2 linked regions of the Oreochromis niloticus genome follow. The protein of the gene in region 1 binds, or shares a complex with, the protein of each later gene. Links are inferred from orthologs where the notes say so. Each region holds a gene or a part of one and is shown in the gene's direction. Other genes may lie near its edges. The genes, in order: polr3g and polr3k.

The links.
Region 2: polr3g (region 1) and polr3k share a complex: the UniProt entries of both Homo sapiens proteins name them as parts of the RNA polymerase III complex. The link is inferred for Oreochromis niloticus from reciprocal best matches to the Homo sapiens genes POLR3G and POLR3K.

The regions. Positions count from the first base shown.
Region 1 is NC_031977.2:14,413,905-14,430,264, forward strand, and holds polr3g (DNA-directed RNA polymerase III subunit RPC7), read left to right. Parts: upstream 1-9,806; 5' UTR 9,807-10,107; intron 10,108-10,285; 5' UTR 10,286-10,306; coding exon 10,307-10,417; intron 10,418-11,155; coding exon 11,156-11,285; intron 11,286-12,806; coding exon 12,807-12,872; intron 12,873-12,952; coding exon 12,953-13,012; intron 13,013-13,089; coding exon 13,090-13,151; intron 13,152-13,231; coding exon 13,232-13,348; intron 13,349-13,441; coding exon 13,442-13,531; 3' UTR 13,532-13,924; downstream 13,925-16,360. Other genes in the region: rhotekin, read left to right, coding at 1,023-1,094, 1,285-1,419, 2,361-2,526, 2,661-2,765, 3,770-4,482; acyl-coenzyme A thioesterase MBLAC2, read right to left, coding at 7,216-7,389, 7,673-7,887, 9,123-9,564; lysmd3 (lysM and putative peptidoglycan-binding domain-containing protein 3), read right to left, coding at 14,640-15,338, 15,861-16,127. UniProt on the Homo sapiens protein: DNA-dependent RNA polymerase catalyzes the transcription of DNA into RNA using the four ribonucleoside triphosphates as substrates.
Region 2 is NC_031969.2:24,513,650-24,530,519, reverse strand, and holds polr3k (DNA-directed RNA polymerase III subunit RPC10), read left to right. Parts: upstream 1-8,679; 5' UTR 8,680-8,829; coding exon 8,830-8,940; intron 8,941-9,025; coding exon 9,026-9,113; intron 9,114-11,337; coding exon 11,338-11,465; 3' UTR 11,466-12,521; downstream 12,522-16,870. Other genes in the region: cell death-inducing p53-target protein 1, read right to left, coding at 1-139, 441-542, 614-748, 878-1,016; snrnp25 (U11/U12 small nuclear ribonucleoprotein 25 kDa protein), read right to left, coding at 5,029-5,086, 5,184-5,258, 5,347-5,452, 5,577-5,667, 8,238-8,471; cdip1 (cell death-inducing p53-target protein 1), read right to left, coding at 15,003-15,114, 16,578-16,857. UniProt on the Homo sapiens protein: Core component of RNA polymerase III (Pol III) which synthesizes small non-coding RNAs using the four ribonucleoside triphosphates as substrates. Can mediate Pol I proofreading of the nascent RNA transcript.

The DNA.
Region 1 (16,360 bases):
CGGCAGGGAGCACACCAAGGAAACTGGCTAGCAAGCTGAGCTCTTCACTGGGTCGATCAGCTGGGAAGAAACTCCGGGCAGCCATGGAGCCCGGACCATGTAGTCCCGTAAGCAACGGAGGGGAGCCCCTCTCCTGCTGCCAGTTCCCTCTGTACCGTAAGTTTAGCTTCATATAATATCTATAGTTTTTATACAAAAACAGAAAATGGATTGGAAATAACTTGTAATTTCAGAGAGCAGATATTTATTGAGACCATCGCTCACTGCAAACATGCATACTCAAACACCAAATTAAATTCTTCTCTTCACTCTTGTGTGTTGACAGGGGCCCGAAGTACCACCTCTTAGCCCACACCACACTGTCACTGTCACACGTCCAGGACAGCTTTCGCACGCATGACCTCATCATTTCAGGCAACGGTGAGTGGCAGCCACCATCAATCTGTGTCCTCGCCATCTTTCTGCTTTCTCTGCCAAATCGGCCATCTGTCTATTTTTCGTCTTTCTCTCACTCGTCACCGCCTCACTTCTTCGCCCGGCATTCTGATCATTTCCTTTACACCAGCATATGGTGCAGCTTTGCCTCCTCCTCTTTTCCTCCTCTGTCCTCCCACTTTCTCTGACAGGCAGCCATTGTCAAGGTCACAGTAATAAAGGCTGCGCTAGTGAGGTGACTGCTGTGTAAAGCTGTAATGATGCTGGATAACAAGGGTCCAGACCCTAACACAGACAGGCCTCTAGTGTTTTATTCATTGGCCCTTCAGCCTGCTGTAAAGTTTCACTGCCAAACTGCATGACACTCCCTGCAGCTGCCAGCCTTTTATACCCTAGTGTGTGTTAAAGGGGAGGCGGTGTGAGGACGCAGTGTGTGTCTGCTTGTGTGTGTGGATGCATGTTTCTGTGTGGAATTTTAATGGCATGGGAATATTTTTATTTATTTATTGATAGTGTTTATTTTTTCCCCATCCATCTACTCCCTCCCTGCAGAAGAGTGTTCGTACTGGCTGCCACTCTATGGCAGTATGTGTTGCCGCCTCGCAGCTCAGCCTCACTGTATGACCCAACAGATGATGAGCGGGTGCTTGAAAGTTAAGGTAAGCTGGCAAGCCTGCAGATGTGCATTGATGCGAGCTATTCCTCCAAGGGTTGTGCTAGATTTTTTGCCATATGTCCACACTTTTTTTTCTTTTTCTCCCCTAACATTCCTGTTCTCTCAATCTCATGTTGTCTTCTCTCTTTGTGTGCGTATTTTCTTCTCCTTTATTCCATTTTTTCTTTACCTAGCAGCAGTGTGGAGGTGACCCTCAGAGTTGGACAAAAGTTCACGCCGTTCTCAAAGGAACAAGCCTTTTCTGCTACTACCGGCAAGAAGATGTGGAGGCTAACGTTGAGCCAGCTTTCACTATTGGCATCAACAAGGTCAGCAAAGAAATCTGAAAGGCAGGATATTATCTCTTTGAGCTCGATCCAGCCTTAGAGAAGCAGTAGCTGCATATTTTTGGTAACACCTAAGGCATCAGAATAGATGGTAAGAAAACAGGCTTGTGGATTACCACACGTTTAAATAACAAGCTCACTGGTCGACTCTGAGCCTAAAGAGAAAATTTAGCTCTTTTCTTTGCAGCGGTTCTCAAGCTTTATTTTAAAAAGCCGCCCAGAGCTGTCAGAATCGAGCTCCATTGAGTTCATGAGTACCAAACTGCGGTTGTGTTTGTTACCTTTTGAGGTGTGACTGTAGAAAAGTTCATCAGGCCTGTAAAGGCACATTTCTTCTGCTCAAAGCTTTCTACACGCAGGGAGACCCCTCTATCCAATTGGAAGTCATAATTCTCTCATGCCATCATTTTTCCCTGCATCAAATAAAGATCAGTCAGCTGGCCAGTCATGCTCTCAATCATCTCATTTCCTGTGTCTTTAAGAGTCGATTCCTAGACTTCACAATCTTTCTGTAGTGACGCACTCCGTCTTTTGTGTCCTCTGACCTTGAGCATGCTGATAACCTAAAGCCAAGTCAATCAGATCAGGTCTGTACGGTCTTTTGTGCGGCTCACATGAAGAGACAGAAAGAGGGAGCGCGGCATGGCAAAGGCATGAACAGGGCAACACTGCCATCTAGTGGTCATAGCCATACCTAGACATATTTAGAGTACAGCAAGTTATGGGAATTGGGAGTCAGCATCCTTTTGTTGGATAATTGCTGGAGGGAAATGGTTTGGAAGAGCACTAACTGGTGACTTTATTAATGAGGGCTTATTTTCAGCAGAGACTTATTCATTCAACCACACTGTACTGCCATTCATTCTCTGCTGTAGGCATTTTTATGGTAGATGATTGTATTCTTTGTCACTCCTGTGTTTCAGGAGACCAGAATACGTGCATCAGAGAAAGACCCTCTCAGTAAAGTTCAGAATATCTGCATCAGTAACCATTACGGAGGGGAGGAGGTTACGCACACTGTGACCACAGACGGCCGCGAGGAGACACACCGCTGGATGGAAGCCTTTTGGCAACATTTCTATGATATGAGTAGGTCCTCATGTGTCATTTAAACCCACAACATGTGGACGTTTAACATATGTTTTAAAGGACATCATATAGTGCTGTATATTCTCCATTTGCTGCTTGATTTGTTGATGGTGACGTTTGTCTCCAATGTACAGGCCAGTGGAAACAATGCTGTGACGACTTAATGAAAATTGAACTTCCGTCGCCACGAAAACCAGCTCCTATCACACCAAAACAAGGCTCTTTGTATCATGAAATGGGTAAGAGTTCTCCTTGTATCAAGGTGTTTTTTGGTCACTTATGACCTAATGTGAAAAATAAAGCAGGGAATCAAAACACCGTGCCTGCATTGCATGTGGCTGTGTTGAATTTCTGTTTCTTGAGTGCACGTGCATCAAAGATGCTGTCAATTACATTTTCCTATCCAATTTCTCAAACTCACTCTCTGCTTCACTTCTCTGTGCTCTAAATAGAAGGGTTCTTATCTCTGACGTGCTGACTAACTTGTCTTCTGTTTCTCTATTCCTCTTTTTCCTTTTCACATTCCTTTGTCATATCTATCCATCCTCGCCATTTCCTGTTCTGCATTTTCCTTATTTCCATATGAAATAATGTAACATTCATTTCATCACACTTTTCATAAACTTTCACCGTTCATTGTAATGGTTGAATTATCTTGATGCATGAATGAAATCTTTCTTTGTTTTCCCATCACTCCTGTTTGAATGAGCATGCATCCTTTTCCTTTTTTTGTCATGTCCATTAAAAATGCCAAACTACCAACTTTTCCCTCATCCCCCTCTCTGCTCTATCCCAACTCTCTCACCAACTTCCCTGTTGATTTTCCTAACCCTGGCAGCTCCTCTTGCCACACCCTCCTGTGAGGGTCTTCTGCTGCAGGATAACGCTGTGTCTGCTGAGATTCGTGCTCTGCTCTCATCCTATTACAACGACAGGTGAAGTAACAGGACTAGGACTTAACATGAATTGGTTTGTGGTAAATGTTGCAATCCCAAGAGGCTGGACTCTGCATTCTGAATAGAATTATGCAGTACTGTAATCTGCATGAATTGGAAAGATGTCATGAATACACTCAAAATGTTAAAAATATCCTACAGTAATTGCTATCTTTAGCACTTGTTCTAAAAAAAAAAAACCCTGCAATTTAGATTTAATCCCAGGAAAAACTGATCAGTCTGTAAAACTGGTCTCAGGTTTACTCCATGGCGGCATACTAATAAGATTCGCTGCTTTTCTCTTGCAGTTATTGAGTCATCTGATGACCTCAGCAGCACCGTGTCAGACATCCTGGCTCGGAGAATGCAGGAGCTGGAGCTCCGTAGCCAGCTAGGCACCTCTCCCACCTGGATGTCTGCTTTTGAGGAGAGCACTGCCAGATGTACTGGTCGCTCTCGTCACTGTACTCGCATGTCTGGCCACAGCCCCTGCACCCCTCATCGACTGCCTCGGAGTCCTGTGAGTCCTCACCGCTGCCCTCAGCTCGGCCTGCTGTCTTCAGACGCAAGTCTGACCTCAGATAGCGACAGCCACTGTAGCACCAGTCCCTGCTCTCACCACCACGGCTGGCCTGAACCTACTTCCAGCTACTCTCTTTTGTCGTCTTCCCCCTCACGTCTGAGGCCACGCACTCTTTCTCTGGATGCTAAGCTCAGCACCCTTCGAGGGAGAGGGTACGGAGGTGGAGGGACCTTCCAGTGTTCCTGCCAGCCGCCTCCCTCGTCCCTGCTTGCTCCTCTCCCCATCTCCAGTTGCTCCCCCCGGTCACAGCACAGCACACAAACCACGCTATCCTGCTCCAGCTCCACCTCAAGCAACAGCTCCAGCAACAGTGAGGGCAGCCACAGCCCAGAGTCATCAGAGGGAGGCCCCTTCTCTAGGCCCTCCCCAGCTCGACGCAGCCTAAGAAACCTCAGGGCCAGACTTGATCCTCGTAACTGGCTCCAGAGTCAGGTGTAAACTTCATTTCTGACAGTTTCTTTATTTTTTTTGCTTGCCTAAAGGCAACAGTGCTTATTAAACCACGGTTTAACTAGCTTAACACACGTGAACCAAACTCAGGCAATCTGCGATGCCACATGCACACCCTGAGAAGGATGCCTCCAGCCTGCCTCTTGGTGGAGGACGAGCCATGGAAGACCCTTCTTGGGCAAACTGGAATGTCTTCTAACACAAAAGACAGGTGACAATCACTGCAGGAGTCTCTGACATTTGCTCGGTTGCCACAGTGTTTCAAAACAGTCCATAAGTAATTGGGAGGTACTCTGCTTGCTTTGAGAATTGATGGTAATGCTGCTTGGAAGAAGGTGATGCTAACAGATAAGGACATGCTCAAATTCATGCCACACTAGGTCTACTTTCTGTCTTTGAAAATCTGATTTTGAAACTGGAAAAAATAATAACAAACTAAAAAACAAAACAAAAAAAACACAGTTTTTTGTCTGCACAAGTGATCCTGGCCACTCAAACATGGCCATGTCTGTTAATGCACTAGTCGTATTTTGACTGGATGTTTCCTGTTATGTTCGAAAAGTTTGCAGTGTTTGCAGTATAGAAGCCAGTTAGCATGAGGTAATATGAACACGCAAGACAAACAGGTAAAACCAGTCAAGATTTTTCCAATATTAGAGACTGCTATGTGTAGAGGGAAGGGTTATTTGTCGCCTGTACTGTGATACTTGTTTCAGTCTACTTATTATTCATGCTATTTGTGGGGTCTCCCAGAACGACTATGCACCATTTTTGTTTTCATGCATGTTTTGACTGGCAGTTAAAATATTTCTTTGTCAGATCATTTCAAATGACCCTGCAAGTGCTCATACTTACTGTACTGGTTATGACTGTGATCTCTTCAGGGTAAAAAAAATCTGTGCTCTGCTCTTATCTGCACACTATTGACGGGCTGCCATCAGACTAAGTAATAGATTTGTATGCACACAGTGCAACTCCTAAGCAAACTGATTATAACCAAAGCTCAATTATTATTGAAAACCCAAGCCATACTAATCTGCAGCTTTATTTGTTTTCAGTTTCCAATCCTGCCGTCCAGCGATTTATTATCACGCGACAAAGAAAGAAAACTGATTTAATCTTGGCGAAATTCTAAAAAACATTCTAAAGAAACGTGTGCTTACATGAACTCTAGACAGTCACCTTTTTAATGATTCGTTAACACTGCCGCCCATTTGTTGTTACATTTTTGCTAGTTAGACAGCTCAGAGCAGTTACTTCTTCTTACAGGAAAACTGAGTTAAAACCTTATAGGGTTGGTGTTGTCAGTGCAGTAAAGCTTTGCCTCTTTTTTTCCCCGTTTCCGTGTTTATTGTGGACTCTGGAAGCCGTTGCCCTCTTGGGGACTCAGAACTCGAACCATTTTTACTAAGATCTGTTGTACGCTGAACGACAGCATTTGTTACTGTAAATTAATTTTTATAAGTTAACAAATAAACCTCCTGTATTTGTTTTTGGGTTTTTTTTGTTACATTACTGAATTTGTTATAAATGCAGCTGTGTTGATATTTGATGATCATAATATTAGATAACGTGCAGATCTTTTAACTGTCACAGATAACATTGAATGTTATAACCTTGGCGGAGTTTCCCGTGTTGGCAGGCTTCGTGTTCTGCATGTATGCCATCCTCGGAGGTGAACTGAAAACGAGAAATGTGGAAATCTCGTGTTGAAATAATATAACATTAAATAAATGTTTTATCAATTAAAAATCGTCTTCTTTTCTTATGTATCCAAATTAACATGTTCTATACATATTTTTATGTGTACATTTTTATGGTGAAATTCTTTAGTAATGCATTGAACTTAAAAATAAAATCTGATATTTCTGTTAGAAGGTTAAATCATCCTACTTTTCTTAACTTTTCAAACTAAAAGCCCCCCAAATTAAACCCTTTCCATGCATTGAGAGAGGTTTCCATCAGATTAGAAAATGACTTTAAGTTCTCTATCCTTTGAACAGGTGTTGGATCATATTCCATCCACCTCTGTTCTGCCCCTTTTTCTCTCTCTTGCAACAAATCCCATTTGAGTTCCCCCCTGGAGAAGCAAATCCACTTATAAGCTGCTGCAATCTGTGCTGCAAAAGACTCAAAAAGCAGGTAGAACAGAGACTTTTTATTGTCTATGTTTCGATAGCAAAGCTGTAGATTAGTCAATAGTACAAAGCACAATTACAAACATAGGAGGTAGTCGACACTGAGTCTTCACTGAGCATTGTAATATGCATAGAGAACACTATGGCCATAATGACTTTGTTTCAAATGTCTCAGAGGAAAACCCAAAGCGCCCTGTTCTGTTTGTAGTGCAGAGTTATGCTATTGTTGTGCTATTGTAACTTCACATATGCTTAAAGTATAAAAATCAAACACTGAATTATATTAACACCAACATATACATATTCATCAGCATATAAGACCAGTAAATATTTTTTATAATAGGCTTCATATGGTGCTGATTATTGACTTCTGTAACCCAGTAGGGGCATTTCACACAAAGTTTGGCAATTACTTGATTTTCAGCTGGATTACATAAGTAAATGGACAGCGTTACATTAAGTTGCAGATAAAACAGAGGTAACCCCGCCCCCACCCTTTCTGTCCTCACACTCTTCCATGTCCTCCATACTAAAACATCTCTCTTTGTGCACTTGCTTCCTGCAGCTCAATGACCCACTCTCATTAGCAGGCACACTGTGGGTTGCACACCCGCAGCGCCACCCCAGCCAGACTCCTCCAGGCAAACGTGGAGAACTTTGCAGGGCATGTTTCAGCTCTGCTGATGTACGTGGAGGCAAGCCGATGGAGCCGCTTCGCACCGAATGCATTGTAGTGCCCCGGGAGGACTTGGTCGACCTGTTAAATCCATTTTAAAGCCAATAAACATGTATTTTATTTAACAAATAATGTTTAGCACATGTTAAAGTATATTGTTTTAAGTATTAGCACAGAAAACACAGCTTGTATATGTAGGCTAATAGATACTGGTATGCCAAATTTCAGCAGAGCAACATGATATTTTCATTATAAATCTATGAAATGTTGATATAAGGTGCTTTGGGATAAATACCCCTGGAAAAAAAAAGTGGAACTGTGTACTGAAATTGTGAGGCTGCTCTCTAGTGGGCTTTAGAGTTACCTGTTCGCTGTCCACCAGCCCAACCAGGCGCTCACAGCTGCTGATGTAGTCACTGACGCGGCTGTAGGGCAGCCAGTCAATCATTGCGCCGTCATACACAACATCGCCACTGAAAAGCAACTTATTGTCCCGGTCATGAAGGCAAATGCTTCCCCGAGAGTGTCCGGGCATGTGAAGCACAGTCAGCTGTCTGTCACCAAGATTGATGACATCACCTAGGCAGGAGAAAGAGAGAGAGAGTGAAGGCATTAGGTTTTGATAATTATTCACACATACAAACGTGGCATGAACCGTAATCACCGGCCACTATGTATTTAAAATCTTAGACTTATATATAAGTGATAACTCATATTCTGGCTGACTCACGTCAGAGTTATGTTTGTGCTTTCCACATGTCACTGAGTCACACAGATTCTGTGACATTCAGTATATCATCGATTTGGTCGACGCCAGTTATGAGTTGCACTGGCAAAAAGGGTGAAGTTGATACATCAGGGAATGAGATATACCAGCTGCACTGCAGTAGTGGCTCTGACACAGCAGAACGAGTTACTCTACAACACTGCATTTTGCATTAAACCCCAACAGATACGGCGGCTCAGCAAATACATTATTTATGATATAAGCTTTGTGTATTATTATGTGTGCTATTCTGATGAATGTGTGCTTTATATAAAGACTCCAGTGACCAGTGCTTTCAAACAACGTATCCACTTTCAGATTTATCAAGTAGATTGATTCAGCTCGCCACCTGCTGATCTTTGACCCACTATAAAAAATTGTTTGAGAAAAGAGAAGACTGTGTGGTTGTTACTTCGCGCTGTGGGATGCTTTCATTAAGTGTGACACCAGTCTCTGTATGCTCTTTCTTGGAAGCAAGAGAATACATCAAAGCCATCACACTGGCTTAAAATAGAACAGCTCTGCAGATATAGAGAATGAGCATATAGTTGCTACCAATGGAGTTTTTGTTGTTGTTTTTTTAACCCATACACTTCTAATAGGGGGAAATTGTCTGTACCTGCATTCCTTGGATAGAATATCCTGTTTTGTGTAATGGGATAATTGCACCTGTGTAATCACCAGTCCTGGCCTCATGTTGCTGCATTGAACTGGTTCCTCTAGCCTACTTTGTAACTGTAAAAATTACTGGCAGACCGACCCCTTGTCTCATCCCCACTACCTCCATTACATATATAATATGTGTCGATGTGTGAGCTAGCAAGTCATTGTTGGTCTTCTGCCAAATCGCGGTGCAGAATCTGAGGCTGGAAACGACTCTGTAGAGCATACTGTGCTCACACTAGGCCTGGTGCATCCATCAAGCCCATTACTGTATCGATTATGGTGCTTGTCACTAAGTGAATGCTTTTAGACCTTGCTGGTATTTGAGCACAGATCCATCCCTCTAGCCTAAATCAAATCTGCAAGGGCTGTATTTCCTACCTACCCTCCTGCAGTATGTGTGTGGGCTGCACAGCCTTGACTTTGTAGTGCCTTGCCCTCCATCCCGGGCTGGGAGCCTCGGCTATCTCCCTGTCGCTGAGCCAAGTGACCGTCTCGAAGTTGTCTCCGTTGGCCAGGGCATCGACCTCCGCGCTGTGGACGCCCACCTGTTGGAACTGATGCAGACCACCGGAGTGGTCGAAGTGGGCGTGGGTGGCGATGGCAAGCAGCGGGTTTTTCCTCTGCGGGTCTTTTCCCAGCAGGCCTTTGGCGTCGATGTATTCAGGTAAGCTCCTTAAGCCCAGACCCGTGTCTATCACCACGTCCTGGTGTGTGCCGCGCAGCAACCAGATGTTGGCTCGGTTCTCCGACTGGTAGAATCGCTCCTGGATCCAGAAGATTCCGTCTCCGAGCGATTTGTGAGCGTACCAGTCGACTGCAGACATCCCAGTTCATTCGCTTGTCGAAGTAGGGTTCAGTATGGTGTCTTGCTGTCAGGTGATTTATTGGGGGGGAGAGGTGTAACTAGCCTTCTAGCTACAGATGATATGTTTTCATTGAGGTTAATGCGATGGTGGCCGCAGACACACCCTTGTAGGAGGACACTAAGCTCACTGGGCAAACCGATAAACGACGGCAGCTTAACGTGGGTTGCAATTGGCTATACGCAAACCACGCCTCCTCTGTCGTCACGCAGAGGAGGAGCGAGTTAAAGCCACATTTACGCATGCTGACAGTGGCGTATGGCGTGTGCAGGTTTCCAAAGCCGGTGCTAGCTAAGCAGTATAAAGTCTAAGCAGTATCTTCATTAGGTTCAGCTGAAATGTATGTGATTTTTAAGGAGTTGTCGAGGGACAGATAAAACCGGCCAGAGAGGTACATTAAAAAACTGAAACATGTGGATCCAGTAAGAGCTAAATATCGCTGTCCAGCTCTGAAGTAGACTTTGTGCTTTTTTACATTAGGCGCAGTATACTAACAGGCTTCTAGTAAGTATTTCGACATACTTTACACGTAGAGTGCGTCTCTGATGCTGACTAAAGCTTCATCGCTGGCAGAGTCACGCTAAAGGCGATGGAAGCTGTAGAACGTTAACTTTCATCAACACGTGTTGACTGGAGATATGTGGACGTGTGTGTGTGTGTGTGTGTGTGTGTGTGTGTGCAGGAACAGAGGAGACCTGCAGCCATGGCAGGCAAGGGTCGTGGAGTTGGTGCTTTTACCTTCAATATTGACGCTCTGGGCATCGGCAGGGGCAACATGCCAGAAGCCAGGGTGGGGCCCAGTCCTCTGTTTCCAGTAAGTACCGAACACAGTCGTTTACACACACACACACACACACACACACACACACACACACACACACACACACACACACACACACACACACACACACACACACACACACACCAGCAGGATGACAGATTGCATTTCAGTATAACAAATTCACCTCTAATGGTCAAACTTTACTGGAGCGACTTTGGGAGAGACCTTTTTGAGAGAGGTAGGTGAAATTTGCATGGAATTTGAATAGCAGACTATATACAGTGGAGGTTTACTTATAATAGGTTAAGGTTTATTCTTTGTAATAAAATTTACGAAACATTTTACTGCATTTGTATTTAAATGAAGGGAGATGAAAGTATATTTATCGTGCTCATGGCCAACATGTGTTTAAGAGTTATGACCCAATGAGTGTCTCTCACAGGGTTCACAAATAAGCACAAAGGGGGTAAAGGGCAATAATGTATGCGCTTATGTTAAATTCATGGCCAGGTTTTCTAATTTGGTCGTGTGTATTCCCAAAGAATATGGCAGATATTTACGTGCCTCTTGGATTCTGCCAGGATGCTTTATGGGGATTTTTTTTTTCTTTTAAACACAGTTTGGACTATGCTTACAATGTAGTATATTTTGACTATTCATACTTAAAATGTTGAACACCTTTACATGGCAGTCTGAATTTCAGTTAGATTTGAAATTTATTTGCACTTGAACATTATTAATATCGGCATTACATCATCCATACTTCTCCAGAGCACGGATTTTAAACCAGTTCCACTGAAAGCTGGCGAGGATGAGGACTATATGCTGGCCTTAAAACAAGAGATGAGGGGAACAATGCAACGGCTGCCATACAACATCAAACCTCAGTCCAATAAAGCAGGTGAGGAAGGCGGTGCATTAGAAACCTGACATCAGCTGAAATGACGCTGTAAGACAGTTGTCTGCTGTGGGGGAAGATAATGCAGCTTTTAGGAACAAAGACTTTCAGTTAAGGTCATATCTGGGAAACGGAGAGAGGCAGATTAATGACAGAATATTGAGTTACAGATGTCTCATCTTGCGAAACCACAGATTTCTTTTGTCTGGATTACTGGCCTTTCAAAACTCTCCTGTTCCACAGTTAGCTAAATGTAACCATGTAAAGAAGTCAGTGTATTTTATAGGGGGAAGGGGGGATTGCTTATTCAGCAGGGGGTCTGTGGTGAACATGACTATAGGGAAATTACCTATGAAAAGGAAGTGCACCCAGTTCTTCTGTGCAGAAGCAAATATACACACATCATGACCGATAAACAGAGAAGCAGCTGCTGCTTCATATCTACAGCCTCTTCAGCAAGACTCTCATCCCATGGTTGAGCACCACCTCCGCTGTCTTAGATAGCTGTTAGACATTGTACTCCATCCAAAACCTGCAGTAAAAAGAGAGCTGGTTCATGGGCTGTAGAGCAGAACAAATACTAAATGTCTTTTAGCTTGATGAGGCCAAGGCCTATTAACTTCTCATCAGTGATCATCATTGATTACAACTAGTCTGTCTTTGACAGGAAAAAAAGAAGGATTTGTTTGACAGGGCTCATTGGATTGACGCACAATGGGAGAGTTGAAGGAACTCTGTGAAGATCCAAGAAGGAGAATTGATAATTTACATAATTTGGGAAAGTCTATTTGAGCTATTTTAAACAATATCACATTCCAAGTTTTCAATTTTCTGGAAGAAGATCCGAACTGTTACCCTCGGATGAGAGAAAATTGGTTAGGATGTTCACGAACAACCGAAGAACAACCGGGTCTCAAGTCTACCGTGAAATCGAAACTACTCAAAGACCAGCCGCTGAAGCGAGTTTTAATTCTTTTGCCGACCACAAAAGAATACCCTGCTCCAAAATCAACAGCTTCAATTTCAACTGAAATTTGCAGCTAGATGGTTGAAACTTTGGACACAATTGGGTGTTCAAACAGGACAGTGTTCCCAAATACACATCAAAATTGGTTTTGGATTGGATAAAGCAGACTAACATTAAAATTCTGGCTTTTGCAAAACCACAGCCTCAATCTTATTGAAAATTTGTGGACTATGCTTAAAAGTCCGGTCCGTCTGGGTGGGCGGCATTTAGTGTTATCAGTCCTTTCATCCTTCAAGACCTGCCAAAATTAATCCAAGCTTCTGTAACAAATTCTTGTATTTTTTTGTTTTTTTTAAAGGCATTAAAGATGCATGCTGTACAGTCCTTCCACTCTATAAAAATATCATTTCAAAGAAATCATTAAAGCCCCAAATGACCATGACATTCATGCTACTGACTGTATGTAAACTTCTAGAGTAACACTGCAGTTTGTGTTGACGCATACTAGTCTAAATGTTTTTAAGAGTATGACCTTTCTTTTGTTTACTTGAAAACAGAAGTGGAGAGATACACCGAGAGATACCTGAAGCAAAGCCAGATTGACGACAATGAATGGACTCCAGGTACGTGCGTAACACATCATTATGGGATTAGGTGGAACACAAAAAAGAGGATGATGATAACATTTTTCTTGATATTTTAGACTGGAACCTTTTTCCAAAAGAACTGATGCCCAGAAGAAAACGACCTCAGGCTAAAACGGGTACATTAAATACAATATGTATGAAATCACATTTCTTGTTACTATAAGAATAAAGACCCAATGTTTAACTCCAACAGGCACAAAAAAAAGTGCGAAGATATCACGCAAGGACACAGAGAACATTCTGACCAAATTAGATGTAAGCTTCATTTAAATTTACTGTCAGTTCTCTCTCCACACCTTTGGTGTTTCACATGAGTAATTTGATATTAATGCCAGGAACTGGCAAACAAAGATGACCCTGAAAAATCAGATGAGGAGACTGAAAAGAAGCCGCGAAATGAGGATGAAGAGGAAATTGAAGAGGAAGAATATGAAGAGGAGGATATTGAAGAGGTGTGATTCCAAGATGTACTGCAAAATGTGTTACACATAACGATCAATATGTACAAACTAGATCTAACATTGCTTTCTCTTCGTTCTGTGTAGGAGAACGACTACATAGAAAGCTACTTCGACAACGGTGAAGATTTCGCTGCGGACAGTGACGATAATATGGATGGCGAAGCAACATACTGAGCGTCTCTCAAGCAAGGACGTGCTGAAGTTAAACATAATGTGACTGCTTCTTTTGGTTAAATATTGCACATAAGTTGGGAATGCTATTCAGTGTGGAGCGATGCCCTTTTTCTTTTTCTGATCAAGCTTTCGTTAAAGACTAATGTAAATAAGAAATGCTGAAATATGTGCACACGGCAATAATTTATTCAAAATAGATTTATTTATTCTTCATCCTGTAGACAAGTTTCACAGGTTGAAAGGCACATACTGTTAAGAACACAATGCTCTGTCATAGAATATCAACTGAACACAGTGAGAAAATAAAAGGGCTACATAACAAGTCTAAAAATTGTACATAATTACAAATGAGTTATTGTGGGAATATTGTGCATTTTCCTCACCATGCTCTTATTTATACTTTTGTTTCTTAATTACAAAAAAACCAAACCCCTACAGTTCTTTCAAGCAGGATGGAGATTCAAGAAAATTTCATTTTAACTCCAACTGATGATCAATACTGGTAGTGTACATAAAAACTGATGTTCAGTCTTCAAATAAATTAATTTTAATTACACACAGTGGCAGCAATCCTAACTTTTCCAACAAGTACCATATAACTAACATGGCTAAAGTTACAGCTCAAACGTCTTTTAAACAAATCCACAGTTATAAGCGAGCCCACTGAACCATTTTAATCGAATAGTTTATTCTGCAGTGCTGCTGTCTGTAACTCCCTGGGCAGCATTTGTGTGTAACCGGCTAAAAATTCTCCAGCACAGTTGACTGCAAAGACACCATCTCGAGTTTACAGGAGACACTCAGACCAACTATGAAATGCAGTCACTTTTAAAAAGGTTGAAGCAGCACAGCGTTGGTCTATCAAACCAGACATAAATCTTGCGAAGAGTTGGACCCACATTCAGTCTGTCAACTGTATGCAAATGGAGAGACACAAGTTATGATTGTGGTCACACCTTAGTCTCTCAATCCTTCAAAGTTATTGTCTCCTGTATAATTAAGCCAGATAGATTTAAGTGATGTTTTAAACGTTATCTGTAAATGGGAACATCAGCATAATTCTATTAGTTCTCAGAGTTAGCGACACATTTTAGGTGGAAATTCCTTGCTATGTTTTCTCATTTTCTCCATCTCCACCGTCTCCTGCTTTGTCCGCAACCCCTCCCTGCTGAGCTTCATTAACTGCATGCTTAGCTTGAGCATCTCCATGAATGTCTTTACTCCTGAGCAAACCGTTGTCTTGTTGATACCCATAAGACAAGCCGTTGTGAGTTTGTGTAGGCATACCATGATGGCTGACGTCAGCTTTCACAAGAACTTCATAATACAACAGATAAAAGATGGGTGTGACAATGCCGACAAAAAGCATGATTGCCACAGCAGTCCACCATCCCATGCCCCAGTCTGCCCCATAATAAGGATCCTTCCTCTGTACTGGTTTATATCCAGCTTCTCCTAGTAATGGCTGCTGCTGTTGCTGCGTTAAAGAGGACACAACCTCACTGAGGCCGCTCCGAGATGGTCCTGTGGATTTCACCAGCCGCTCAATGTCCTTGTCCTTCTCCATCAGGAAACCTTCCACGCTGTCAGTGGAAGAACAGGAGTCCATGGAGGATTCAGAAGGGAGAGAAGTAATGTGCGAGACCTGTGGCGGGTGTCTAGTGCCTGTGGGCGAGGCAGATTTGAGAGTAGCAGCGTTATGAGTCTCAGTGAGGACACTAAAGCGCCTCACAGGAATCTTAACTAAACGCAGGGCAAAAAAGTCCTGCTCTGTCAAAAGGTTGTTGGCACGCTTGATGTCCGCCACCTGGGATTCACAGGGGAAAAAAATAAAAAATTATAAGAAGTAATTAATAAGCCACTTACAATTTGCCATCTGTTGAACCTTTAGAGCCAACCACTGAATTGTACCTGAACTCTTTACATGCATATATAAAAAACACTAATTATAATAAACTTTCCACAGATGTTTGTCAATCTCACATATCTTTTCTAAAAAAGTGCTGCTTTACATATAGTAAGAAATCATTTTGAAACATTGTAGTGAAAACTACAAATATTCAATCTGAAGGTTGCTTCCAATTCTTTGTTTAGCAAGCAGTTTCAATTTCAGAAATTAATAACCACTATCATCATAAAATAAATTTAGCAACAACAGTTTAACTACAACTCACCTGCTTTCCTAAACATATAAAGCAACAAAGCATGTTTCTGTATGTTTCCTACGTAAAGAGAAAAGTGCAGGTATACAAAAACATACAAATGAGGATTTCAGTCAATGCTGCAAAGGAGAGGTAAAACAAACACACAAATCTAAGCAAACACATACTGAGCAATGGTACTGAAGGGCAATGCTGTTCAGAGTGTCTCCCTCCTGGATATCTCTGGTCAAATAGATAATGTCATCCATTCTCTCTTTAGAGGTGCTCCTCCTGAGTCTCTCTCTGCCACGAGGCCGCAGCTCATAGCTTTCACCATCCTCTTCTGACATATCATTTTCTGAGCTGTTGTTTCCGAACAGATAGGCATGACCGCCATTGGCAGGCTGCACCATGGTGGCTGACTGGAATCCATAGTGCTGGCTTCTGCTGGACATTTTTCTTCACTGTTTTAGGCAGAAGGAAACAATGGCTCAGAGCACAGGCTGATATACTGAATCAAGAAAAAAACTTATTAGAGTGTGCATCTTAAAATCTATGGGCTATCCAACTTGCTTAACATGTGCTACTGTAGTTTAACAGAATAGGCATTAACATTTTGGCAGTATATGAAAATAGAAAACACATTAATCCTGCTATGATCTGACAGATAAGACTGATTACACTGAAT
Region 2 (16,870 bases), on another chromosome or scaffold:
GCTGTCATGATGCACACCAGCCACGTCACACTGCTGACAGAGGAGAACGTCTCTGTCGTGATGAACTGCCGACACTCTGGACACTGTGTCCTGCACGGAGCTGCCGGGAGCTTGTCCAGCTCCAGAATCACTTCAGGGGCTGTGAAGGGAAGCAATGCATGATTGATGATTTATTTTATAAAAACAAAACATCCATCTCTCTCGTTTTAAACTTGGACAAATTGTTAAATAGTTTTCCACAAAAAAGAAAGAAAAACACACATGAAGGTACAAAAATCAGTAGCATGAAGTCGTATTTGATCTGCAGCTGGGGGGAAATGCACTCAAGAAGCCCCGATCCAAACACAAGTATCTGCATGCAGTCCTCACCACGAGTGTGGTTTTCATTCAACTTTTCATTCTTTTATGTTTTACAGGACAAATTTCCAAAAGTAGCTCACCTGGGATAGTAGGCGGAGCCACAACATAGACGATATTAGAGCCAGGAGGAGGAGAAGGCGGAGCAGCAGAATCTATATTCTCTTTGTCTGTGAAACTGACCACTAACAAAGAAGAACAAATGTGGTTAGTTGTGTAAAGTGTGCTAGATTTGCTGTAGCAAACTGGGCCTCACCTTTCTTGTGCTGTTTGTTTTTGGTGGCATTGAGCATGTTGTCGTAATTTTTCTGGAGTTCGGACTGTTTTTCATTCAGTTCCTTCAGTTTCTCATCGATGCTCTCAATCTCCTTCTGAGTAGAGACTGCTTCCTCTGATTATAAAAACAAAACAGTAACCATACAGAGGTTATACATACAGCACAACTTGCTTTTATTCCTCGTGGAAAATCTAAAAGACTGCAAACAGCCATCACTGTCACAGGAGTTGCTTGAGTGGTCACCTGTTTGTCCAAACTCGGCTCGATTCCTCAGCTCTTGAAATATGCACAGAATGTTTTTCCTCTCCTTAAGTTGTTCCCTTTTGAGTGAGACATGTTTCATCTCAGCAGCTATCTCCTTTAGTTCGCTGTCTAAATCCATGGCAACTACTGGAAGGACAGAAGCAGAAGAGAAAGCATGACCTTATTTAATTGCAGATATTATTTTTGCACCGGTTAAGCATATAAAATGTTACTGTGAATCAAAGATTTACAAATGTGTTTCTTTTCTATGCCCCACATTCTAAATGAGATGATTGCATAAGAGAGTGCATGCATTATTAATTAAGTTCTAAGAGGCAGAAAATAGTAGAAATCCAACTCCCTGTTTATTCCTACTGCTTTCTTTTTCACATAAAGTTGTTAAAATGACAATGATTGTGTAATTTTATTTTATGAAAGTCAGATTCCATGATTATCCTAATCATTTTTCATATTGTATTTGTTGTAGTTGTTTTTACGTTTGGTTCTTGTTGTTTTTTGAGTTCTTTTCATTTTCTGTTCTGTTCAGTGTTGGTTTGTATTTGGTTTGGTTTAACAAATATGGAATAATTGCTCTCAATTATGCCAAAAACATGTTACCTACAGCATATTTAAGATGACTCAGAGACTTGGAAGGCTCTTCTAGCATCTGCTGTCATTAGGTAAACCTGATCAACTGCTAAACGCAAATATCTAACCAGCCAATCGTGCGAACGCAACTCAATATGTTTAGGCATTTGTGCAAGACAAACTGCTGAAGTTCAACCTGAGAGTCAGACGGGAAAGAAAGGTGATTTAGGCGTTTTTGAACGTGACGTGCTTGTTGGTGCCAGATGGGCTAGTCTGAGTATTTTAGAATCTTTTGATCTGTTGGGATTTTTCCCAAACAAACATCCTTAGCGTTTTCAGAGAATGGTCCAAAAAAAAGGAAAATATCTTACTTATGTCATCAATAGAAATGCCCTGATGATGGCAGAGATCAGAGTAGAAAAGCCAGATTACTTTGAACTTATTCGAAGGCAACAATAACTCAAATAGCCACTCGAAAGATATCAACATATCAAACCTTTAAACAGATACCAGGTGCCACTCCCATCAGCTAGGAACAGGAAGCATGGTGTGGAGGATATTCTCTTGATGCTCTTTGTGCCCCGTAGTTTAAATGACACAGTACACTTGAATATTGTTGCTGACCCTTTATGACCACAGTGTGGTCTGATAGTTGCTTCCAGCAGGGTAACAAACCATGTCACAAAACTCAAATCACCTAATATCTCGAACATGACAAAGTTTCCTGCATTAAAATGACCTCCACAGCCACCTGTACTTAATCAGCACCTTTGGGATGCTGAGGATCGGGAGGTTCACATCATAACAAATCTGAAGCAATTTTGTGATGCTATCATGTCAACATAGACCAAAATTTCGGGGGAATGTTTCCAGCACCTTGTTGAATCTATACCATGAAGAAGGCAGTTCTGAAGCCAAAAGGGGTCCAAAAAGTGATTGCCGGTATTTAAGCTGTTGTAAATTTGGCCTATAATCTATCACACATATCTCTCATGAATGATATTTAGTCATTTTGAAGCAGAAAGAACATTTCCATCACATGGTAAAGACTGCAATCAGTTTTTGGCAAAGTGACATTTAACAGTTCTATAAAGATATTTTAACTGGCAAAAAAGACTGGACTGATTATAATGTGACTGATTATAATGAACACAGTGTAGGTACAACAATGCAGGGTCACCAGAATACTTGCAAAACAAATCAATTTTATATAAATCCCCTCCACGAATTTACCAATATAACTATGGATATTAGACAAAATGCACATAATCAGCAATCACTTTTTGGCACAATTCCCAGGACCAAACGTTATTATAGTTAACTGACATGTAACTAAAAACTAAAACTAGATTTAAAAAATCTTACTTAACTAAAATGAAAATCAAAACTAGACTTTTGGAATAAAGAATGTTGTGAACTTGGAAAACTCCATACAATAAAATAAAATCCTTAGTTTTAGCGTTTGTTAGTTTAGTTTAAAAAAATAAATAAAAACTGTGGACTATAATGTGCTGGTGATAAAGGTCATATTCTTTTAATTCATTCCAACCATATTTATTTACATATATGATTTGCTTATCTTTTCCCCCTTCAAACATTTAGCACGAGATCAGTAACAAACATGCAAGTTTCAGGCTTAAAAAAAACAGCTGCACCGTGTTTTGGCTTTAACAGAACGCTGTGGAATTTACTTCCTCTTACTGAAAAGTTTTTAAAACTATATATGTATTGGACTAAATATTGTTAGTTTTTTTCTAATTCTGCAAATACCCTTTGTAACTATTTTGCAAATAAGCTATAGAAATAAAGTTTATTACTATTGATATGAAATAAAAAAGATGCAGTACATGAGTTCATCCAGCATGTAGTCAAATATGCTGCTTTCTCTGAATCAGATAAATTGGTCACAACCATCTGCAGCTAATTAAAAGAAACATGGCTTCTCAGGTCTGATTGGATGCTTAGAAAACAAGCAAAAGATCTATAAAACAGAAAGAGACACGGACGCTGATGATTGCGTGTAATCGTCTGATCAATCTTATATGAAACAAGTTCAAATAAGTATCCAACTGCACTGATGCTCCGCTGTAACATTAATCTAACATCTCAATTTATAACCCCATAAAAATCTATTTCACCATTATTTAATAGAAGATATCTGCATTACCTTCTTCTGTTCCTGCCGTATCGTGTATATCCTGTAACACTGGTACTGGTTCAACAACAGCATACTGTTCTCAGGGAATATTCAAATCATCAGGTTATGGTTATAACTGCCCTATTTTGGACCTTATATAAAGCTCCTGCTAAGCTGCAAGCCTAGGAAAACAGCTATGTTATTGCACAGGTATGCAAAAGTCTCTAGACCCCATCTTTTTATCTTTTGCTGAGAAAATGGGGATTTACACACGTGCACAAACACAGTTTGCAATGTAAAAACTATTCTGTACAATTTTAACAAGCTTGAAAGCCAATAGTTGGTATGCGCACCTTTATTCTTCAACACATTCTGAACTCTCTTATGCAAGCTTTCTAGTAATTTCTTTAAGCAGTTTTCAAGAATAGTTCTCCAGGGTTTTTAAAGGACATTTAAAGCTCTGTCAAGATGATCACACACTGCTTCAGTAATGTTGAGGTGTGGGCTCTAGGGAGGCCAATCCATAGCTCACAATGTTCCAGTGTGTTTTTATTTTTAATGCACCGGTAGGAAAAGCACACCATGCTGAAAAATGAAGCCATTGCCAATCAGTTGCTTTCCTCTTGGTACTGAATGGTGGCTCAAAGTTTGGTGGTATTTTTCTGCATTCTTTATTCCATCCGTTTTGATAGGATTCCCAACAACACTCGATTAAATGGAGCCCCAAAACATAACCGTGCTTTATAGACTCACTCTTCTACCTCTCTCCTGACCTCCTCTGTACACACTTAAGATGGTTTGAACCAAAACTTTCAAATATGCATTCATCACTCTATAAAAGCACTGTTTCCACTGACTTTAAATACAATTATTGTGCAATTTTGCATACCTCAGCCTTTTCTCCTGGTCCCCCTTCCTCAAGAATGACTCCTTGACAGCCACCCTGCTTCAGCAACCAGTATATGGATCGACTGAAGGGCCAAATGTATCTCTCAGGTCCTGAGTCAGGTCTTTGCTGGATTTTTATTTGTATTTTTTTCAGATTATGTTTACCTGCTCCTGCTACTTCTTCTTTTGGCCTCTACTAATGTTTTGTAAGGACATGCTGCACACCACAGTGAGATATGCAAAGGTTTTAGCTAGTAGCTCTTTGGAAATCACCTTTATGCACAAAATACTATTTATGCCTGTGACACTGGTTATCTGGCCATTCTGCAGACTCAAAATAAGAAAGTGGAACAAATCATGTGTTTTGTGACAGGTTGCCAGTAACAAAGTGTGTATATATTTATATACACACAGACACACAGGTACACAAAAAAATTCACATTGGGAATAAAAGTGACAACTTATAAATATTTTATTTACATGAAGCCTCTTTGAGAGGCTAAAAGATTCTACAACAACAGCAGATGGTGTTTTTTTTTCACTTTTTCCTGAGTCTCTTCATGAACGTCACTTCATCTCTGTTCCTGATCCCATAGCTGAAGATATACACAAATTAAAAAAGAGAGGGAGGGGGTGAATGGATAATAAGTGTTATCAACACCATGAAATAAAGTGCTAACTTGATACACTTACTCTTTAAGCCTCATCTTGTCATCTTCGAGCTTCTCGCCCTGAAATACTAAATGATACGTCCTCCAAACATATCGCCTGGAAACACAGAACACAGGGAAAGAGTAAAAATATGACTTTTTTTAAACATGCCCCATTTCATTCTTGTGTTTGTGAGTGTGTTTACCAGCTGATGTGTTTCACGCCGCCTTCGCGTTGCTGTTTTAGCTCCATAAATCTGCAAATAGCCTTCTTCAGATCAAGGACCGTAGCATTTTGCACCACCACAATCGCTATGAGGAAAAAAAGCAGTTTGTATGTTTTTGTCTTTTGGGATTTTTTTAACCAGAAGAGTATAAGAGGCTTTGCGAATTTAAAAAGCATGTAAACAGAAAAGAAGACAGCTTCAGCACTTACGCATCACTTCACTGTCTGCTTTCAAGACTCTTACAGTCATCGCCTGGCCGTACTCCAAAGCAATCTGAGAGTTGACCTCCTCCAGAGTCACCTGAAGATAAATATTTTTTCATTTTTCTGTCAGCACATAAATTCGCTTAGTCTCAAAAACATGAAGGGAGTTCCTGGATATTCATCGTTTAGTTTTAGTTTTGCTTATATTTAATGTTTTGATCTATTTGATTCATTTTTGAGTCAAACTTTTTAGGAATAAATGCCGAACTGTTTTCTTTTTAGCCGCTTCCTAGTTCTTTGAGCCTATATAATATGAAAATTAATTTTTGAGGTTTTTCATTTAGACAAAACAAAAAAGCAATTTATGCAGCACCAGTTTAGCTGGTGCTGGTAACAGGTCCAACAGGTAATCTTATGCTGCAAGGTTGAATGCAGAGGCAGAGGTCAGACTCCAACACTGCCCTTAGCTGCACGTCTTCCTGCGCTCACTGGCTCTCTGCTTTCCTGTCTCCTCGTACCTGCATAACATAATGAAAATGAGAAGCCCCCAAATAATGTAAAAAAAAATTAATAAATTAAAAATTAAACCAATTTATGGTGGTCTTGGGCTTTATGACATCAGTTGGAGACATTTCCCAGTGGCCTAAGTCCTTTTGCTCTGCTGCGAGGAGTCTGCTCTACCAAGGATATTATTGCAACCAGGAGAGCAGTTGTTCAATGAAAGTGTACAGAGGGAAACGAAAGGTGGAAAGGAGTGGAAAAGAGAGAAATTAAGTACCTGCGAGAGTCCAGCTGAGTAAAAAACACCAGCCGAAGCACAAGTTTCTTTTCACACTGTTGAAGCTTTTGTTCGACGTCAGTGAAAATGTGGATGTGTTCAGTCTCACCCTGTATGTCATCTCATCTTGTATTTTTAGACTGTAGGCAAATTAGTTTCTGTGTCTGGCCTTACATAACTGAATTAGATTTTCATGTCCTTAAGATTTCATTCAATCTATCGCCCTTAGGATTTCATTCAAATAAAATAACTTTATGTTATTTTATTTGAGGTATTTTTTTTTATGTTTTGGCGCGTGTAACACAGGAATTTCCCAACTTTTGGGAAAAATAAAGTCCCCTTGCAGGAATCTGCTCTTTGTTTCAAAGTGCAAGAGAGGAGGCATTGTTAGGCTTTTTATTGCACAAGCAGCTTGAAGAGCCTGCTGCAGGTCCTGAGAACAACTGGAAATGCTGCGATGTTCCACTTCAGCCTGTGTTTTTTAATCTTTTTTACATTTATTTTTATTGCATTCTGTTCTGTATCATCATTATTATTATTATTATTATTATTATCCACTGATCAGACCCCTATAAAAAACTCTTAACTGCACTACCTGCATAAAAGGTGTCTCATTAATTTGTGTAAACACAATGTCAGCCTATAAATAAGAGAAAATAAGAGATAACAGTTGCATGAGCAGAGTGACCTGGAATAATTCCCTGCCTAAATTGCTGTTTCAATCCACCCCCGAGTGACATTTTAGAGACTAAACAGCATGCAAATAATTTACAGATAACTTGAGTCAAATCCATCTCCACAGTTTGGACTGATTAAATTATACATACAGTGTTGAACATCAGGTTGTTACGGCATTTTTGCTAGTTAAGCATGCGTGTTTAAGATTGAAACACCAATCAGACAAAACCAGACACTAGCGTCTTTATACACTCACTGGAAAATTTGGAAGACAAGCCTTTTCAACTTCTACAGATATTTAAACAGCCACGGTAGCAACTCAGTGCATTTAGGCATGGTCACGATGTCACGCTGAAGATCAAACCAAGAATCAAAACGATGAAGAAAAGTTACTTTTAAAGTGGCATATCATGTAGGCTGGTCTGAGTATTTCAGAAAGTGCTGATCTACTTGGATTTTACCACACAACTATCTCCAGGGTTTACAGAGAAAAAGAGAAAATATCCAGCGAGCGTCAGTCCAGAGGTCATAGGAGAATAGCCAGAATGCTTCAGTAACTCCAATAACCGCTTGTTATAAACAAGGTATCAGAAGAGCATCTTTGAACGTGCAACACATCAAACACTGAAGCAGGCATCCTACAACAGCAGAAGACCACACTGGGGGCGACACTCCTGTCACCTAAAACCAGGAAGGCTAAAATTCACATACTCACTAAAACTGAATAATAGTAGATTAGGAAAATGTTGCCTGGTCTGATGTGTCTTGATTTCTGCTGCTGCTGGGTTAACTTTGTGAGGATATTTTCTTTGCACACTTTGGAATCTTTAGTACCAGCCGAAAGTCAATTAAAACTAACAGCCTACCCCACTACTATTGCTGACTGCTATGTCCAACTCTTTATGACCACATGTAGCCATCATCTGAAGGTTGCTTCCAGCAAGATAACAGCATGTCACAAAGCTCAAAACATCTCAAGCTGGTTCCTTTAACACGACAATGAATTCACAGACACCAGATTTCAATCCAACATAGCACCTTTATGATGTGATGGATCAGGATACTAAGAGTGACCGGGAGTGTATACAAATATACCAAAGGCATTGTAAGAAGTCATTATATGAGGTGATCTCTCGTCTGACCATAAATGCAACTCTCTTGTCTGTATGTATGCAATGCACATGTGCATGTTCATGTAGTGGACGGAGCACCTGAATCGGCAGGTCACAGAGCAAAGGATCCTGCACGAGTCGAGCAAGTCCTTCCTCGAAAATATCCAAGATTTCTGAATGAGGAAGAGCGTCCTCATCTTCCTCCTCTCCGCCTTGAGCTGCCGTATCTGTCACATCTTCCTCTTTTACCTCTTCTTCATCCTTCACCGATTGTCCTCCTCCTTCTGCAGCTCCAGCAGCAGCAGCGGTACACGCTCTCTGCTCCTCCTCCATCACCGCCAGCTGCTAAATTTACTCAGTAGGCAAGCAGCTTAACAGGCAGTTTATCGACTTAATTTATAACTTAGGGGAAAATATACTTTTTAATGGAAACTAATTTAACTGGAAGCCTGTGGAAGTAAGTGCGTCCGTCACAAATAATAACCGGGCGAGGAAATGGGGCTCAGAAAACATGGTTCCGCTTAATGATCCCTTGTTTCTCACCGAACTCTCAATGTGGGTGCATCTCATTTTCTCTCCTTCTCTTCCGGTGCTCCACACGCAGCAGTGTTTACAGCTGAGTCCACAGAGTGCTAGTGTTGTTTAATAGTTCAAAAACTAACAGGGTTTTGTTTTTTAAGTGCGTGATAACATGCTTCTGTTCTGTCCAACCTGCGGGAACGTGTTAATCGTCGAGGAAGGGCAGAAGTGCATGAGATTCGCGTGTAACACCTGTCCCTACGTACATAACATCACACGAAAGGTAAGTAACGACGAAATACTCACATCTTACATTAAGGTTAGCGTGGCTTCTGAGAGCCTCACGTTATCTGTTTAAACCCCTGTAGGTAAATAACAGGAAGTATCCGAAGTTAAAGGAGGTGGATGATGTTCTGGGTGGAGCTGCTGCGTGGGAAAACGTGGACTCAACACCTGGTGAGTGCCATTAAAATAGTTCATGGTGTGGTCTATCCATCTGTTTATAATCGCAAAATTAACTGGCTGAAGAAATATTGGATTTTTTTTTTTAATTAGTTTGAGAGTGAAGTTGTGTCTATCGTCCTGCACTCCTGCTCAAAACATTAATGTCTGCAGTGCCTTTGAGTGGTTTGTAATACAGTTTTTGACAACTGGATATAGGCTTGTTAGCTCAATGTGATTGCTGACAACAAGTATTGTGGGGTCAAAACTCTAAACACACACTTTCATGTCAAAATTAAACTCTTTAAAAGAAGAACTTTTTAAAACAAAGTCATCCAGCCAGCCATCTTCTTCCACTTATCCGTGATTTGTGTGAGCAAGCGTGTGTTTGGATCAACTCACTTTATCAGATTGAAACAAAAACTTTCCACCTGACCATGGACAGATTTTCCTTTAAAACACTGAGGGGAAAGATGCACTTCTGGACTGTTGTTAGCATCCAAGTATTCCCATGGATGACAGTAGGGATGTATTTTGTTGTGCCATTTAAAAATGTAATTATTTAGAAAACTACTTGAGCTGGGTCCTTCAGTTTTTCGTTATTTTAGGGTAAATATCTATTAACACTGTCAATATGGATTGTCAAATGTGTAGCTCAAGTTAACAGTCATGTGAAAAACAGAGTTTTCATGTGCAATACTGTGAAAAACAAAATACATTCTTAATTAAGAGGGTGAGTCCCTGCCAGCTGCTGCTACCTTAACGTTTGGGCACAATGTTGTCACTGTGTTAAACACAAACTCCTCTGTATATAAATATTCTAGAGTTAAATGTGAGGCTGTCTATCTGACAGATGGTTAAAATTGCATCATTCAACAGCACAATGACCCCAAGCACACCACCAAATTACAACAGAATGGCTGAAAAACAAATTGGGGTATTGCAATATCCCCGCCCAATAAAAACCTAACTCTACAGATAGATTAAAGCTCTTTAAATGAAAGACAGCTGTAGCTTTTGAACTATCCAGCTTGGAGACCTATTACAGAGAATAGGATGTCTTGGTCCGCCCTTGATGACATCAATGTGAAAGTCTTCTCCATCAATTCTCTGGAACTAGATATTTTTTCTAATTTCTGATAACCAGGTGGAGTTTGTCAATGGTATGATGACTGAGTCACATTTTAGGGAGCCAGCATATGCTAGAGACCTCTACTGAATAAAAATGCATTTTATACAAACTTTTAATTACAGTGTTTGTCTTTTCTGAGGATGGTAATTTATATGGCATTTTTGTGTTGGCTTGTTTGTTTTAATCATTAGTGAGGTGGCTTTTATACTTCTTGACCGCTGCTGTCTTTGTTAATTTAGGAAGGTTTAGTCTATTATAATGGATACCAGGGATGGAAGAGCTGAAATGAATGTGGGGTTGTTAAAAGTGTGAGAAAAGGTGTGTCTTTGCATCATTACATTGCCGGACTGCACCCCCTTCAGGGTAGGACAGGTAAACAACAACCTCTCTTGCAGGTTCTCCTGAGCTGCTGGTGAAGCTTTCTGGCCAATTAATGTTTAATAAATTGGTGACTGGATTTGGGGGAGGGGGGGTGTATGAATTTTGCAGCTGGTCCACAGCTGTATGCTGGCTCCCTGTATAGGCCCTCAGTCATGAAAAGCTTAGCCTCGTAAAGTTGTGTCAGCACCACTGGTATTTATGATTCAGGATATTATTCTACATCAATCACATTTTTGTGTTGTAAATACCTTTTTCCCTTGAAGCATGAATTGCAACACGGGGAAGAAATTGGAAGAATAAAAGTCCATTAAGAGTCAAATTCCTTCAATTGGTTACTAAAGAGCATTATTTCTAAATAAAGAACAGATTTCATATTTATTTAACACAAATTACGTACTACAGGCTAATAAGAGACCTTGATAATATGTAATTTTCTATGTAAGAAAAACTGAAGCTATTGTATTTGCACTCTGGATGATGTGACTTTGTCCTCCAGGTGCTAGTTTGAGAAACCTGGCAGGATAGGTGCTTGAACTTTCTTATAAGTGCATCTCGAGAACTGCGTCTTTTGATCTGTACAGTGTTGTCAAAATTAGGAACATCCTGTGTCAGTGATGCTACTCTGTGCATTTTTCTTTATACTGTGTTGCCAGATGGAATTAAATTAAATGAGCCAATTCCAACAGTATTAGTGATTCCACACTGACATGATGCACTTGTTTACAGAAACGTGCCCGAAGTGCGAGCATCCTCGAGCATACTTCATGCAGATTCAGACCAGATCAGCAGACGAACCGATGACCACGTTCTACAAATGCTGCAACGCTCAGTGTGGACACCGATGGAGAGATTGACACCTTTTCACTTATAGTCAGGGTTTTCAATTTCATTCACAAGCACAGCTGAGAAACATTTATTTTTTTGCTTTACATTTAATATTTAAATAAAATATCCACTTTCACAATGTCAAAATTGAGTTTCCTTCATGACTTTTATTGATAAAATAGTAGCTGTATACATAAGTCAAACAAATCTTTGACTTACATAGTTATACATTTCACAGACATTTAGAGCAATGCAGACCAGCAAAATCCACAACAATGGTGTACGTTACACCGTATTAATATTTCAATGCAATCCTTCATTTCATATTGATTTTCTTGCAGAGCTCCGTTAGCCGCAAGGAAAACAAAAACAAATGCACATAGAGTCAGGAACTTGCCAGTGAGAATGACTTCGATGTGTGGCTCGTGCAGAAAAACTCTGCGCTCGGTGCATGAGACATCCGGCATGCTGATGGTGGAACAGTATCTGTTGGTGTTAAATTTGGTGGGATCACAATGTTGGAGTTAATCTGTTATTTAAAGCTTTTTCCTAGCAAAGAGCTCACTATTTAGTATCTGTAATCGTTTTTTAACATGCCTCTGAGCAATGCAAGTCATCAGGAAGGGCTAACGCTAAGTCAGGGACTCAACATTGTGTGAAGATGGTCCCACCGCTGTACGTTAAATTATACATGTTAGCACATCTCATCAGTGAGAGCAACTTGGAATGAGTTTTCAAAATAAATTAACGTTATAACAAAACACATAACAGAGCAAATATAACATACCGTGCCACTAGTAACAATTTTCTGTTTGTTTTGAAATAACTTATTTTGAAAATCACCTTAAACGACCCAGACTCAGCATTTGGCCAGCGACAGGACAAATCACTACCGAGATGTTGTGGAGTGTTCGTCCATCAGTAACAGTCGAGCCCTAAGTCTGTCAGCTCTACTTTCAATCTACTAAATTCTGAAAAGGTGCAACCATGGTGGGATTCACTCAGCTAACAGCAAACCAAAGTAAAAACCAAATGATGCATAGGTGGTCACGCTTTTTTCCCCCCTAGACAAATGAGGCATCTGAGGGGCAAAGGTGAACTTTAACTTAAAGTACAAATAATGACTCAATCATCAAAATAAAACACCTTTACAGACAGAGGGCACTCATGCGCATTAGCTCAACAGTAAGTCACAGGACATTTTGTGACTACAGCCCAAATTAATAACAAAATATAGCAGGTTAACGTAAATCTTGGGACTTTCCCAACAAGTAGATTTAGTAGCTAAATATTATAAATGGTTCATTTTGCTCACATTCAAAAGGGATCAGTGATTAAAAGGAAACACTAGACCTGCTGGAACAAAATAATCAGACAAAGGAAAATAAAAGTTCCGTTCTAAATATTAACCCTTGTGTGGTGTTCGTATTTTTGTTACTCAGCCAGTGTTCATGGGTCTGGTGGACCCGCTAGAGTTTTGGCTTTCCAAATTAACACTATCAAACAATTTTATGTTAAATTACTCAACAATGTTTACTTCATCCCAATTACAAGCTATATGAACAGCAAACATGGTTAATGTTTGCTGTACGCACCCACTTATCCCACACTGTCCTGATGGCAGCTAGCTTGTCTCTCTGCCACCGAGCTGGTCTGTCATCTCAGTTATCAAAACGGATAATCCTGGAAATTTTGTGGAAGTTTTCCAGAGACATTGATGCACTGAAAAGTTCTCTGCCGGTTTCTGCATCCCACAGGGATTCTGTGGATTCCCCTTTGGACCTGAAAACTCCAGCAAGGATAAGAACCCCAAAGTAGGCCTGTAGATCATTTTGGTCCATCTCCTTCCACCTCTGTTAGATTTGTATTGTTGATTGTCATTTATGCTTAGAAATATCTACTCATATATGCTTAGAGTTTTATAATTAGTTGTAGATTGGTAGAGGTTTGATCCTTAGTAGCCTGTGGAGCCTCCCAGAGCACTCTGGCATGCACACACAACTTAAGGTCAGGAGAGAGGTTATATCTGCTCTTCCTGATATATGGTATAGCAAACACACGTATATCTGTTTTACTTTAAGTGCCTTTTGTTTAGGGAAGTCTTTATGGGGTCACACTGTGCCTGTGCTAGACAGACCCAACATCTCTCTCCAAAAACACACCATCCTTCTAGATTACTGCAATCCAGAATAATTTTCTGGATGGAATCTGGGATGAAAAGCTCAAATGAAGACTTGATGTCCTGCACATGAGTAACTGCCAGCCGTGTTGGCCCTGGTTGCATCCTTATCGCATTAGCAGCTCTGCAGGGTGGCTCATTTCTTGGGCAAGAAGATCATTCAATTTCACCATTTTTTTACATCCATATTTCTTCACTTGCTGTCTGGTGGGCTTGTTCTGGTCCTGGAGCTGGCTGCTGATGGGGTACTCATCTTTGTTTTGTTACTAAATGGTGCTCAATCTCATCCTCTTCTTCAAAGTCACTGTCAGACTCTGAATTTTCAAAAATGTGATCCTCATATTCTGAAACCTCTTCCTCGACATCATCATCAGAAGCTCCTCTCTCTTCCAAAATCAATAAGGCCCTTGCAGCAGATAATATTTTGGCCATCTTGATCAGTTGTGATAAGGAACCACACTGGCAAAGTCTTATTTATAGTATGATGCCCCTAATTTGCAGGTGGGACAGGGTATGAGAAAATAAAATTTGGATCCCTCAAGAAAGAGGGTAAAATGTGCGGGAATGTAAGAGCAGACGGTGTTGATAGTTGAATTTTCAATAATGTGGCAACTTTGTGCGGGAGCGGGAGGAGAAGAAAACAGTAGCAGCAGCACCAGAAAGGAGGAAAACAGAGTGTGAGAACACAGGACCTACACTTTCAATACTTTTATTAGACCTGGGTCCAATGGACCCGAACACCTTGTATGTAATGTAAATGCGTGGGGGGAGCTACAGTATGCAGTCATTGAAAATTTGTTTGGATTTATGTTCTTCACAGAAAATGAGCCAAAGCCAATGAATTTCAGGTTGAATAAATTATTAATTGTTTAATTTTTCTTTTGAAAAAAACTGAAAACGGGTCTCACAGACCCGAACACCATACAAGGGTTAAAATAATGAATTAAATATCTGAAATCAAAGATAAAAATTAACCCATGTCTGAATACACTTGCTATAGAGCAAAATTCACAGATGAATTCAAATAAAGTGACATTTTCACAGCGTTCTCTAACAGAGGCAGTTTTGTGTTTTGTTTTTTTCCCTTTTTTTCCCGCATGCGAAACATCACAAATTTACCTGTGCCTCTGTGGGGCGCCTTCACCTACTGCGCTTAAGTCAGAGAACTGTACATTTCAAATGCATGAGAGAAGTATGCTGAACCGTATATACAGGAAATATGCTGTGAACTAATGAGAAAACTTCACTTACAATTTAAGAGGGCTACACAACACTTTGCAAAAATGTAGAGGGGTGCGGAGGGGAGAAGCCTGTCACTACCAGCAGGGGGCACTGTGGGTTTATGTGTGTGCATGTACTTGTCTCTGTGGCATCCAGCTGTCCGTGGTTAGCATATACGCTTGTATGTATAAATGTAGCCCTTACAGTAAGGGCAGGTGTGTGTCACATCCTTGAGGTCGTCAATCATACAGGGAATCAAGCAGCAGCCGAGATCACAGCTGTGAACGAGGAGCAGACGGACGGAAGATGAAGCAAAAATCAAACACCTGCTCATGATTGTACACGTTACGTACATTAAGCTCTCACAAAACAATCACTGGGTCAAGAACATGGCAACACAGAAGCATGAAATATACACCATCTGCTTATCTGCCCCGATCTGAACATATGCAAAAGTTGAAGGTCACAGATCCCACAGTATACTGTCGTGCAAAATTTAAGACAGACACGATTAACAAGTTGCTAAATCAACAACATATTATTGAAACACCGTCTGTCTGAATGTTCAGGTAATATTTTATCTTCCAAAGTCCTTAACAGGTGAGCTGGGAAGTAATGGACGCTGTGGGGTATTTTATTTTATTTATATAGTGCCAAATTACAACAACAGTTGTCTCAAGGTGTTTTATATTGGAAGGTAAAGACCCTACAATAATCAGACGACACCCTTCACTTTGGTGAACGTGGGAAGTAAAAAAAGCTCCCTTTTAAAAGAAACCTCTGACAGAACCCCCAACCAGTCGCGGCAGGTAGCTGCCCCTCCTTGAGTCTGGGTATGCCAGAAGTTTTTTCCTGTTAAAAGGAAGTTTTTCCTTCCCACTGCTGACAAGTGTTAGCTCATGGGGGGGTTGTCTGATTGTTGTTTTTTTCTCTCTATTGTTGTGGGGTCTTTACCTTAGAATAAAAGTGCTATGAGTATTTGCTGCTATATGAATAAAAGTGAATTCTTTCACATTCCCTTATATGCTCAACTATGGACAAACCTGGCCGTGTCTGAGAGCAAGAGCAAATGTGAGACTCCAGTGACAATTTAGTATCCAATAAGGGAGCTACTTCAACAAACTTCCAGCAAATGCAAAGTATTCTGAAAAATATGCAATAAAGTTAATCTAGCTAAAGCTGGAAACGACAACTTCTTTTTTCACTATTTGAGTCAAAAAAAAAAAAAAAAAAAAAACCTCACACCAATGAGTATAACCAGGCCACAAAGAATGAGACACTAGCAGCTGGTGATGTGTGACCTTTGTATGAAATATTTTTCAGCATTATTATGTGACAATATTCTGCAGTCCCCTGATGAGTTACATGGTCAAGTTACTTTAAGTTTGTTGAAGTGTCAAGCAATTATTTTATACGTTTACTCAACTTTCTAAAACACTACCTAGGGTACTTAATGCATCTAGTGTCAATAAAGTCAAACTTTGAATTAGAAAGTGTCTCATCAATTAAATTAGCCCAATGGAAATGCTTCTGCCTGCAAGCAGCAATATAACAACAATCAGCGTTCTGCAATAATGACAGTTTTATCATGTCAGAAATATGATTATTGCAGATTTTCTTGACATAATTTATCATCCAGCTCTAGTTCTGTGTTTTTAAAACTACTGTCACTTTTAGGCATTACTCATGTGCAAAAACAGCAAAAACCCACCACCAGATGTCTTTTCTTTGACCTACTTACCCTACAAAGAAGCAGAAGAGGCAGAAGAGTGTGTTCATGAGGCCGATGTCGTGGGAGATGCGGGTGACGATAGCCTGCTGACAGTGCGGACACACAGTCTGCACTGGTGAAGTCTGAAACATTTCACCCTGCAGAACGGTCACAGTGGTGGCTGCTCCTGGAGGAGCCAGGACGGTCGCTGTGTGACCTCCCATGTGGACAAAGTGACCAGGACCCGGGCCCATCTGTCCTGGCATCGGTTGAGGAAAGTGACCAGGTGGCGGTGGTGGGTAGTGGCCACCTGCATTTAGACA